Linked DNA regions of Callithrix jacchus. The protein of the gene in region 2 interacts with the protein of the main gene of each other region in a pairwise test. Links are inferred from orthologs where the notes say so. Each region holds a gene or a part of one and is shown on either strand. Other genes may lie near its edges. The genes, in order: CSNK2B, PRKAB2 and CRX.

Region 1 (3,750 bases), on a different chromosome or scaffold from region 2:
CCCCCTCGCTCCAAGTCCATTTTCTGGACCTGGGAATCCACTCTCCGTGTTAGGAAAGGCCCTCAGGAGGCGGAGGGAAACTTGTGGAATGCCGAGAAGCCGTGAAATGAAATAACGTCACGCCTGCCCCTCACCATTACTCTGACCAGGGTTCTAAGGTCACACTTAGAGCGTAAAAGGAGAAGTGCAAGGGGACGAGCGAAATGGCTGGCCCCACCTCAGGTTACCGCACTGGGCCGTTCTGGTTCTCACAACGCTCAGCTCAGCTCAGCCCAGCCCACCCAACCCAAGTCCCTACGCACGGAGCCAAACTGCACCTCTCGCCTCATGAGGCCAGAGCCGGGAGGGTAACAGGAGGCCAGTCAAGGGTGTCCGGCGGGACTGACTCTCACTAGGGGCTCAACAATCAATAAGGACCCAGCGGATTGGCCGGGGATGGGCCAGTCCCCTGGGCAGCAGCGCCCCGCTGCGCCGGAACTAGACGGGAACTGCGTGTCTCCCTCCTCTCCCCGCCCCATCTCGGCTTTTCTCCCAGTGAGCACACAACTATATTTCCCAGGCTCCCTGGCCCCAAACGTCATACCTGGCTTCCGCTTCCGGTGGCTTCTCGCTGTGCCCCGCCCGCAAGCGTCCTCCTCCGGGGCTTCGTGACAGCCAGGTCGTCCGCGGGTCTTCCTGGGATTGGTAGTTCGCTTTTCCTTCATTTCACCAGTTTCTCTTTCTACCTGGGACTCCGTGTCCCGGCATCCATCGCAGCACCTGACCCTTGGCGCTTGCGTGTTGCCCTCTTCCCCACCCTCCCCAATTTCCACTCCCCCCCACCCCACTTCTCTTGCCGCGGTCGGGTCCGCGGCCTGCGCTGTAGCGGTCGCCGCCGTTCTTTGGAACTAGCGACTTCCCTACCCCACCCCAGTCCTGGTCCCCGTCCAGGCGGTGAGTCTGAGGTCGTCGCTACTCAGAGTCTCTTGTTGGGAGCAGCACATGGGGTCTCCGTACTTTGATGTGGGGGCGGGGGAGGAAGCGACCAGGTCCGGCACAAAGGAGGGAGAGGTGGCCTGAGGAGCGGAGGCAAGATGTGTGGACTCCAGTGAAAGGGACTTGACGGTCGCTCCAGCCCATAAGAAGAGGAGGGGCCCGGCTCTTGCTAGAGAATGATAAACTTCGAAACGCTTGGGAAAGGCGCCGGGGTCATGCAGAGAGCTGCAGTGGTAGGGAGCCTGAGCCGAGGTCCGTGCTGGAGGTGACACAAAGTAGAGAGGGCCCTGGCCTTCGGGAGCTCCAGGGATGTGGGTCAGGCTGGTGGGTCAAAGTATCTGTTGGGTTCTCTCAAGTGGTGGGACCCCAAAGTGTGTTTAACCTCAAAGAAAAGGAGCTGAGACGTAAATTAGAGGAGCTGGAGAGGAGTGTTTCAGAGTTTGGGATCCTTTAAAAAAGGACGGCTCCAAATTCTAAAGTCTCCCGTGGTTGGAGGGCCGAATGTGGGAGGAGGGAGGATACCAGAGGCAAGGAGGGAGAACTTGAGCTTTACTGACATTCTTCGTTTTCCAGCTGACGTGAAGATGAGCAGCTCAGAGGAGGTGTCCTGGATTTCCTGGTTCTGTGGGCTCCGTGGCAATGAATTCTTCTGTGAAGTGAGTTCTCTTCAACCCCCCTCCTTGCCAGCTCCACATAGATTCCCACTAGACGTTTCTCCACATATTCCACTTCCTCATCGTTCTCTTATATGCTACTTGAAAACTTCCCATCAATGAAGAGTCCCCTCAGTAACCCCCGGCAAATCTGTGCTAAAGTGGCAAAATTGGGGCCTGTCCCAACTCTGCCATCCTCCAGCAATATAACGTTGGACTAGGCAATTTGTGACTTTCTCTTTTTTTCTTTTTGAGACCGAGTCTTGCTCTGTCACCCAGGCTGGAGTGTAGTGGTGTGATCTCACCTCAATGCAACCTCTGCCTTCCAGGTTCAAGTGATTCTCCTGCTCCAGCCTCCCAAGTAGCTGGGATTACAAGTGGCTGCCACCACGCCCAGCTAATTTTGTATTTTTAGTAGAGACAGGGTTTCACTAGGTTGCCCAGGCTGATCTCGAACTCCAGACTTTAGGTAATCTGCCCGCCTTGGCCTCCCAAAGGGCTGTGATTACAGGCATGAGCCAGTGCACCCAGCGTGTGTCTTTTATTACTAAAGTGGCACTGCTAGTACCTGTCTCAGGTGGCCGTTAGGAGAATTGAAATGCTACGTATCCAAATCTTTTGTTCAGAAACCAGGCTGTTCAGCTTCCACCTTCCTTAGCCAGCTGAGAGGACAAAATGGTTCCTAGCGATGGGAGACAGGAATAAGGATAGAGATCTTGAAAAGAATGTCTCTCTAAGAAAAAGACTGCTGTACCTGCTTATCCTTAGAAAACAAAAGCCAAAGCTTTTATGGGAGGGAGTATAGGTGAACAGAGAAGAGACGCGAGTACTTCTGCTGAGTTTCAAGTGAGAAACAAGGGGGAACAGAGCAGTTAGGTTGATAACAAGGCATCAGTTAGAGCATTTTGCTCACGTTAAAGATGGAGATTTTGACATGGGTTCCCTCTTGGCTTCCATATCCTGACAGGTGGATGAAGACTACATCCAGGACAAATTTAATCTTACTGGACTCAATGAGCAGGTCCCTCACTATCGACAAGCTCTAGATATGATCTTGGACCTGGAGCCTGGTGAGGCACCCTCAGGGTTGTTTGTGTGTGTGCGTGTACTTTTTTTTCTCTTCAGATCCCTATTCACTTGCTTGAATTTTGAAATTTCCTTTGGTTCTCTGATTTTCTTAACCCCAAATTCATGCTTTATTTTGATCCTCCACCTGACTCTTGTCTAGTTTTGTGACGCATTATCACTTGTTTCCCATACTTTTTAAATCCACAGTTCGGATCTATTCCAAAATGGGTTTCCTCATGGGTCTCATTTGCTGTCTGTTTCTCCTACCTTGGACCTTCTAGTCCGGAGTTTGATCTTCTGCATTGATATTGTCGCATTTATGTATTGAGGAGGGAGTTGGGAGGGAGAGGAGAGGAGAGGAGAGGGCAGAGGCTGACGAGGTGTGAAGAGAAGGCAGAGCTCTGCCTTGGGCTGGTGAAAGCGTCAGAAGCCCAGGTTTCTGGGTCACATGCCCAGGTGTTGGATAGGGTAAGGCTCAAAAGTAGGTGCTAGGCAAACTGAATAGCTAGCAGCCCCTGGGTATGGGCAGGGCACCTAGGAAAGCTGAAAAACAAGTGGTTGCATTTGGCTGGGCTGTGTTTCAGATGAAGAACTGGAAGACAACCCCAACCAGAGTGACTTGATTGAGCAGGCAGCCGAGATGCTTTATGGATTGATCCACGCCCGCTACATCCTTACCAACCGTGGCATTGCCCAGATGGTGAGGCCACTCTGCTCCCACTTGCCTCTTTCTGAGCAGTAAGAGAAACAGGTTCCTGCAGCAAGAAGTCATGTTTCAGCCCAGCTAAGGAAGCTAGCTGAGAAGAGGGGAAGAACCCCAGAACTTGGGCCTTGGAATTTAATCCTGATTGGGGGTCATCCTGAAGGGATCGTTTTCAGGGAGGGAGACAGACCTTGAACAGAGAGTTGTTATAGATTGGCTCTTCCTCAAGGAACAAACAGTGAATGGCTCTGATGGTTTGTTGTCTGCCTAACTGGAAGAAAGGCAACATAGGAGTTTGAGAGCCCATCTGGGCCAGTGAAGGGGCCTCTGGACAGAGGTGGGAGGAGTGGG
Region 2 (3,650 bases):
TTTTTACTTTATTTTAACATAATTACAGTATTATCTAGGAAGCTTTTTAAAAATAGATTCCCAGATCTTATATCTGAATCAGAATCTTAGGGTTATTCTTAGGCATATGTAAAATTCTTGCAATTCTAACACAGTCAGTCATGCAAGAGTACATTGTTCTGAGAATATGTAGTTTTCTCTTAAGTCAGTTCCTTATATAATGTGAAAGTCCTTTCAATTCTCTTTCTCTGTTTACTTTGGATTATCCTGCTACTGATGTCTCGTACTGTAGTTTTGGGGAATATCACGAGAATGTATGGAGGGGAAACTATGTCAACCATTTTGAAAAGAAGGCCCAAATGAATAAGCCAGTCCTTTTTGGGGGGGGGGGAAGCCCACATTATTCTATTTGGTAATATTTAGGCTTAATAATCTACAGTCTCATTTACCAGAGTCACTTAAACCAATCTGAAACAGGGGTCAGCAAACTTTCTGTGAAGGGCCAGGTAGTAACTATTTTAGACATTGTAGACCATGCAGTCTCTGTTACAGCTGTGCAATTCTGCCACTGTAGCTTGTAAGTAGCTATAAGTAATACAGGTAAACAAGGCAGGGATGGTGGCTCGCACCTCTGGTCTCAGTTTCTTGGGAACATGGCTTGAGCCCAGGAGTTCAAGGCTGCAGTGAGCTATGATCACACCACTCACTGCATTCTAGCCTGGGTGACAGAGCAAGGCCGTTTCTCAATAAATAAATAATAGGTAGACAAATAAGTGGAGCTGTTTTCAAATAAAACTTGATAAAAGCATCTGGCTCACTGGCTGTCTGCCAACTCTTGGTCCAAAGGATGATAATGAAAAGAAACAGGAGATGTTTTTTTTTGCAATCCCACATACCTCATTTGGTAAGATTACTACTCTTGATAAAGGAAACTGTATTTTCGATCTCTTGCTCCTTGAGGTTCTAGAATTTTTGTTCCTACTCCTGAAATAATTAGTATAAACCTAGCACAGGGGAGCAAGTAAGATTTCATAGCTACTTCTCAAGTTTTAAGAAATCAGTGATCCGGTTTTTGAGTTTTTACTGTTTCTTCTTTTTGTAACTTATTAGCAGAAATAGCGTTTATGAATTATGAATTTTGATGTCTCTAACTTCCATTACAGCTGGTAATTGAGAGCTATTCATATTTGCCTATAAAAATATATATTATTTTTTAATAGAACCATACTTTGTTTTTATATGTTTTTTTCTCTTAAAGACTCAGAAGTGTATAATAATTGCCTGCTTATGAGTTAAACTAGTGGTAGGGAATAGTTTTTTCTTGCTTTTTTTTGAAGGAGAGTCTAAGGCGCGGAAAGGGTGGATGATGCAGGTAGACTCAAAAGTCAGGCTATGATTTAGGAGGTACTTAAGCATAGGCCATTTGACCATTTTTGGTCCTAAATGAGTTTTTTTTTTCTATAATTTGTTCAAACTCAGATTTAGTTGCTGATTGTGGGGTTTATATCCTTAGCTAAAGCCTAGCATCCTTCTCTACCCTAGGGAGGAGAGTGACCTTTTAGAATTCTTGGGTCACAGTTTATTCTAGGGATGACCTACTCCTTCTTACAGCTCCCTGGGGACAAAGAGTTTGTATCCTGGCAGCAGGATTTGGAGGACTCCGTAAAGCCCACACAGCAGGCCCGGCCCACTGTTATCCGCTGGTCTGAAGGAGGCAAGGAGGTCTTCATCTCTGGGTCCTTCAACAATTGGAGCACCAAGATTCCACTGATTAAGAGGTGAAGACAAGTGTCTTGGTTGAATCTAAGGGTCCAGGAATAGTGACCTAATTTCTTTTCTCAGAAGAGAAACGCCACTGGACTACTTTTCCCCACTGCTAAGGACTCTCTCTAGAACATGCCCTTTCTGTGGCCACTTAGTATATCTGTGGGATTTTTTTAAACTTCATAGTGAGTCAGAGATGTTTTACCCCTTCGAATATGATTGCCTCAGAGGGATTCATAATAGCTTTGTGGCTCCATTCATTAGGGCTGTGCTTGTGGGAAGTCTTCTGTAACTGGCTGAGGCTTGTTGCCCTGACTTCTGCACTAAAGCAAAACACATTTTGAAGTTCTAGCTAGTCATGTTATTTGTTGCTCCCACAGCAATAATGAATGGTCTAACTGGTTGTCAGAATGGCCCATTGTATGGTAGGTCATTTTCCAGAAAAGGTTCACGGAAATAGAGAAAGGATACCTTGAGGCACTGTGTCCTGAACCTACCTATCTTCTTTGCACTGGCTAGGAGCTTGTTCTGCTGAAGCAACGTAGTTATGCTAGGGTGCACCATTCCAGAGGATTCATGCTTTTATTATTCTTTTCCAGATACTGGTTAAGAACTAACGTTGTTGGGAGGAGCTGGTAAATACACGTCCAAGATGATACAAAAGAGGAGAATGGGTTTATACATTGTTTTTCACACCAGGGGATACAGTGGCTTAGGAATCTGGGAGATCCTTCATGTGATACTGTGATTGCCACTTGTTTTTTATATTTGGTCTTCTGAAAGGAACTCGGCCTGTTTGCTTTTCTTTTTCTTCATAGCCATAATGACTTTGTTGCCATCCTGGACCTCCCTGAGGGAGAACACCAATACAAGTTCTTTGTGGATGGACAGTGGGTTCATGATCCATCAGAGGTAAGGCCTTGATCTCCAAGGGTAACCACTGACTTAGCAGCCCCATTTTAGCTGTCACTTCTGTCAAGACTGATGGGCAGCTGCTCCCCTACACTGGAGGATTTCTCTCTTGATAAAATATGGAGGTGCTGAGTCTAATCACATGTAAATTTTAGGATAAAAGAGGAAGGTTGGATGGAAAAGATGGATTTGAAAGAGAGATTCAGTATTTTTTTCTTTTCCCTGTTTCAGCCTGTGGTTACCAGTCAGCTCGGCACAATTAACAATTTGATCCATGTCAAGAAATCGGATTTTGAGGTGTTCGATGCTTTAAAGCTAGACTCTATGGAAAGTTCTGAGGCATCTTGTAGAGGTAATTTTGTAGTATTTACTCTTTTTTTGCTGTGTCTTTCTTGCACCTTCCCAAAAGTTGTTTCTGTATGTATATATATATAGAAAGAGAGAGACAGAGAAAGAAGAAGAGAGTGAGCCAGGGTGGGGCGGGGGGTGAAGGGGAGAGGGGGAAAGAGACATTGAGATTTCTCTTGTAAGCTTAGGTCTCTTCTTTGCTGCAGACACCCACACACACGCACATGCTAACAAAAGTCTCATGGTGTAATGTTTACCGTATCACATGTGATACACTCCATTTGCTACATTATCTTTTTTTTTTTTGAGACGGAGTTTCGCTCTTGTTACCCAGGATGGAATGCAATGGTGCGATCTCGGCTCACCGCAACCTCCGCCTCCTGGGTTCAGCCAGTTCTCCTGCCTCAGCCTCCTGAGTAGCTGGGATTACAGGCACGCACCACCATGCCCAGCTAACTTTTTGTATTTTTAATAGAAATGGGGTTTCACCATGGTGACCAGGATGGTCTCGATCTCTTGACCTCGTGATCCACCTGCCTCGGCCTCCCAAAGTGCTGGGATTACAGTGCTACATTATCCTTTATAACTCAGTAATGGGCTACAGCCCATAGTTTGAAAAGCTATTTCTAGTAATATTTCAGGTTTTC
Region 3 (3,650 bases), on a different chromosome or scaffold from region 2:
CCAATCATACATGTGTGTGTACATGAACATCACACCTACATCCATCCATCCAATACAAACATAATACACACATACAATTATACACACACCATACACACATACACCATGCATACATTTACCCATCTATCTGATCATACATACATATACCATACATATATTCATCCATCTGATCACATGAACATACAAATATACAATTATAGACACATAAACTGTACACATATACATCATACATAGCTGCACTTTAATCATACATACATACAACACACATTTCATTTATCAATCCAATTATACATACATGTGTGCACATGTGTACATCATGCATACATCATACAAAATACATGCATACAATTATACACACATACGCCATATACACATTCATTATGCATCCATTCATCTGAGCGTACATGCATACCTCATACATGTATATGTCATGTACACATTCACCAGTCCATCTGATCACACATACATTATCCAGACGCTTACCCATCTGATGATACATACAAGTGTACACACATACATCATACATAGGTTCATTCATCCATCTTATACAATTGTATGTACATACATCATACACACATGCATCACACATGTATTAATGGTCTATCTATACATGTGTACATCATATGTACATTCATCCATTCATCTGATCATACAAGCATACAAATATACAATTATACACACATAATCCATCCAATCATACATATATACCCTCCTACAACACACACTTTGTCCAATCATATATACATGCATACACTCATATATAAATACACCCATCCATCCATTCATGCATGCATACATACAACTGTACATGTGTACATACATCATGTATACCTACATCATGCATGCATACATTCAACCATCTATCTTACCTATGTGCATTCATGCAAACACATATATACATGTATCCATTTAATCATACACAGATACTCATGCATGCACAGACACTCATCCACGCTTCCAATCACACATACACACACACACATATACAGTCACACATACATACATTCATCTATGCATCCACCCACCCACCCATCAGTCAGTCAGTTCATAAATGTGCATTAACCATCTTCTACTACTCTGAGGGTCCATCCATGGAACTGACATTCTAGTTGGGAGAGACAGAGCCTAAATAAACAGTAGATACATAAATCAGATGGTATCTTAGAGGGTGATAAATACTGTGGAAGAAACAATTGAGCGGGGTAAGGGGCAGCATGGAATCAGGGTCGCGGGGAAACACCGAGGGGTGAGATGCTGTGGTCAGTGTGCGTCTCATTGATGGATAAGCAAAGACGCAAACAAGGCGATGGGGCCTGCCATATGGTTATCTGGAAAATGAGCATTTCAGAAAGAGGACACTGAGTGCAAAGGCCCCAGGCAGGGGGGTGCCCAGCAGGCAGGTCAGAGGCCAGCGTGGCCGGAGAGGATCGGAGGGCGGTGAGAGCAGTAAGAGGTGGGGAATCAGTGGGATGGCGGAGGGAGGAATTTTTGTCCCCTTTATAACTGTGGCTGTAACCCTGTGATCTCTCCCTCCTCCCATCACTCTGGGTCCAGGGAGGGCCCATGGAAGGTCACAGGAAGGGTCGGGAGGGGTCCGGGGACCCACCACCGCACCTGAACCCTGGACTCGGGCAGACTGATCTTCAGAGCCACCTCCTCGCGGGCATAGACATCCGGGTACTGGGTCTTGGCAAACAGTGCCTCCAGCTCCTCCAGTTGGCTCCGGGTGAAGGTGGTCCGTTCCCGCCGCTGCTTCCTGGGGGCGCCTGGGGTGGGATGGGAAACAGGACCCTCAGATCATCCACATCTGCTGCCATGAGGAGGCCCTGAGGCTGGTGGGATGCCAAGAATTCCATCCTGGGTGCCATCTGCTGAACTAGGGGTGGAATACACGTTCCCTGCCCTCCTACACCTCACCCTGTCCTGGCATCCTAGGGCTCATGCCTGACCCCAAGGGGAACTGGCTTTAGCCCTACAAGGCAGTGTATCCATCCAATATATGTGTCAGTCATTTTCCCTCTTCGAAACTCTCTCATGCACCGTCTAAGACACATTCAGTTGAAGCATGACATTAACAATTTCTAGCCTATAAAAGTAGCAAGTCCACACCGCTCAACTTAGTGGGGAAAAAAAAACCAGCTAAAGAATAACACTACAAATAACTGAGTGCTCACTTCACTCAAAAATAAGGATCTATAAAAATTAGCCAGGTGGGGTGGCAGGCGCCTGTAATCCCATCTACTTAGGAGGCTGAGACAGGAGAATCGCTTGAACCCAGGAGGCGGAGGTTGCAGTGAGCTGAGATGACACCATTGCACTACAGCCTGGGCAACAGGAGCGAAACTCTGTCAAAAAGAAAGAAAGAAAAGAAAAGAAAGAAAGAGAAAGAAAGAAAAGAAAGAAGAAAGAAAGAGGAAGGAAGGAAGGAAGGGAGGGAGGGAGGGAAGGAAGGAAGGAAGGAAGGAAGGAAGGAAGGAAGGAAGGAAGGAAGGAAGGAAGGAAGGAAGGAAGGAAGGAAGGGGAAGGGAAGGGAAGGGAAGGGAAGGAAGGGAAGGAAGGAAGGAAGGAAGGAAGGAAGGGGAAGGGAAGGGAAGGGAAGGAAGGAAGGAAGGAAGGAAGGAAGGAAGGAAGGAAGGAAAGGGAAGGGAGGAAGGAAGGGAAGGAAGGAAGGAAGGAAGGAAGGAAGGAAGGAAGGAAGGAAGGAAGGAAGGGGGAAGGGAAGGAAGGAAGGAAGGAAGGAAGGAAGGAAGGAAGGAAGGAAGGAAGGAAGGAAGGAAGGGAAGGGAAGGGAGGGAGGGAGGGAGGGAAGGAAGGAAGGAAGGAAGGAAGGAAGGAAGGAAGGAAGGAAGGAGAAAGAGAGGAAAGAAAGAAAGAAAGAAAGAAAGAGGAAGGAAGGAGGGAGGGAGGGAAGGAGGGAAGGAAGGAAGGAAAAAGAAAGAAAGAAGGCTTTGTAGGCCAGGTGCAGTGGCTCATGCCTGTAATCCCAGCGCTGTGGGTGGCTGAGACAGTTGGATTATTGAGACCAGCCTGGGCAACACAGGGAGACCCCATATTCACAAAAAAATAATAATTTTTTGTATGTTTTATTAATCCAGATCCTGCACAATCTACAAAAAAATTTTAAAAGTTAGCCAGCCATGGTGGCCTGTACCTGTACTCCTAGCTATTCGGGAGGCTGAGGCAAGAGGATAGCTTGAGCCCAGGAGTTCAAGGCTGCAGTGAGCCATGATTGCACCATTGTACTTCAGAGTGAGCAACAGAGTGAGACTCTGTCTCAAAAATAAAATATATATATATATACACACATACAAGCTTTGCTGCCTAGTCCTGATGTTTCACACCTGCAATCCCAGCTACCCTGGAGGCTGAGGTGGGTGAATCCCTTGAGCCCAGGAGTTCAAGGTTGTGGGGCGCCATGATCACACCACTGCACTCCAGCCTAGAAGACAGGGTGAGACCCTGACTCTGAAAAATAAATGAATAATAAAGTGTTGCTAACAGATGAAAATTCCTCGCTGTCCCTTCCAGATTGCATCCCCTCTTCCCCGCCCTAAAAGGAACCTCTATCCTAAATTTCTAGGACTGTCCGTGCTTCCCTGCATTCCCAAGGGACATGCATTTCAGATGAACCCAGAGAGCTGGTGTATGGT

Evidence for each region.
Region 1: the proteins of PRKAB2 (region 2) and CSNK2B interact in a two-hybrid assay, tested with the Homo sapiens proteins (2 studies listed by BioGRID and IntAct). The link is inferred for Callithrix jacchus from reciprocal best matches to the Homo sapiens genes PRKAB2 and CSNK2B.
Region 3: the proteins of PRKAB2 (region 2) and CRX interact in binary tests that used the Homo sapiens proteins (3 or more experiments, as listed by UniProt). The link is inferred for Callithrix jacchus from reciprocal best matches to the Homo sapiens genes PRKAB2 and CRX.

What each region holds. Positions count from the first base shown.
Region 1 is NC_133505.1:39,169,942-39,173,691, forward strand, and holds the start of CSNK2B (casein kinase II subunit beta), read left to right. Parts: upstream 1-1,035; 5' UTR 1,036-1,151; coding exon 1,152-1,227; intron 1,228-1,548; coding exon 1,549-1,631; intron 1,632-2,595; coding exon 2,596-2,698; intron 2,699-3,280; coding exon 3,281-3,396; intron 3,397-3,750. UniProt on the Homo sapiens protein: Regulatory subunit of casein kinase II/CK2.
Region 2 is NC_133519.1:7,286,652-7,290,301, reverse strand, and holds part of PRKAB2 (5'-AMP-activated protein kinase subunit beta-2), read left to right. Parts: intron 1-1,590; coding exon 1,591-1,757; intron 1,758-2,561; coding exon 2,562-2,655; intron 2,656-2,886; coding exon 2,887-3,007; intron 3,008-3,650. UniProt on the Homo sapiens protein: Non-catalytic subunit of AMP-activated protein kinase (AMPK), an energy sensor protein kinase that plays a key role in regulating cellular energy metabolism.
Region 3 is NC_133523.1:41,742,293-41,745,942, reverse strand, and holds part of CRX (cone-rod homeobox protein), read right to left. Parts: intron 1,767-3,650; coding exon 1,615-1,766; intron 1-1,614. UniProt on the Homo sapiens protein: Transcription factor that binds and transactivates the sequence 5'-TAATC[CA]-3' which is found upstream of several photoreceptor-specific genes, including the opsin genes.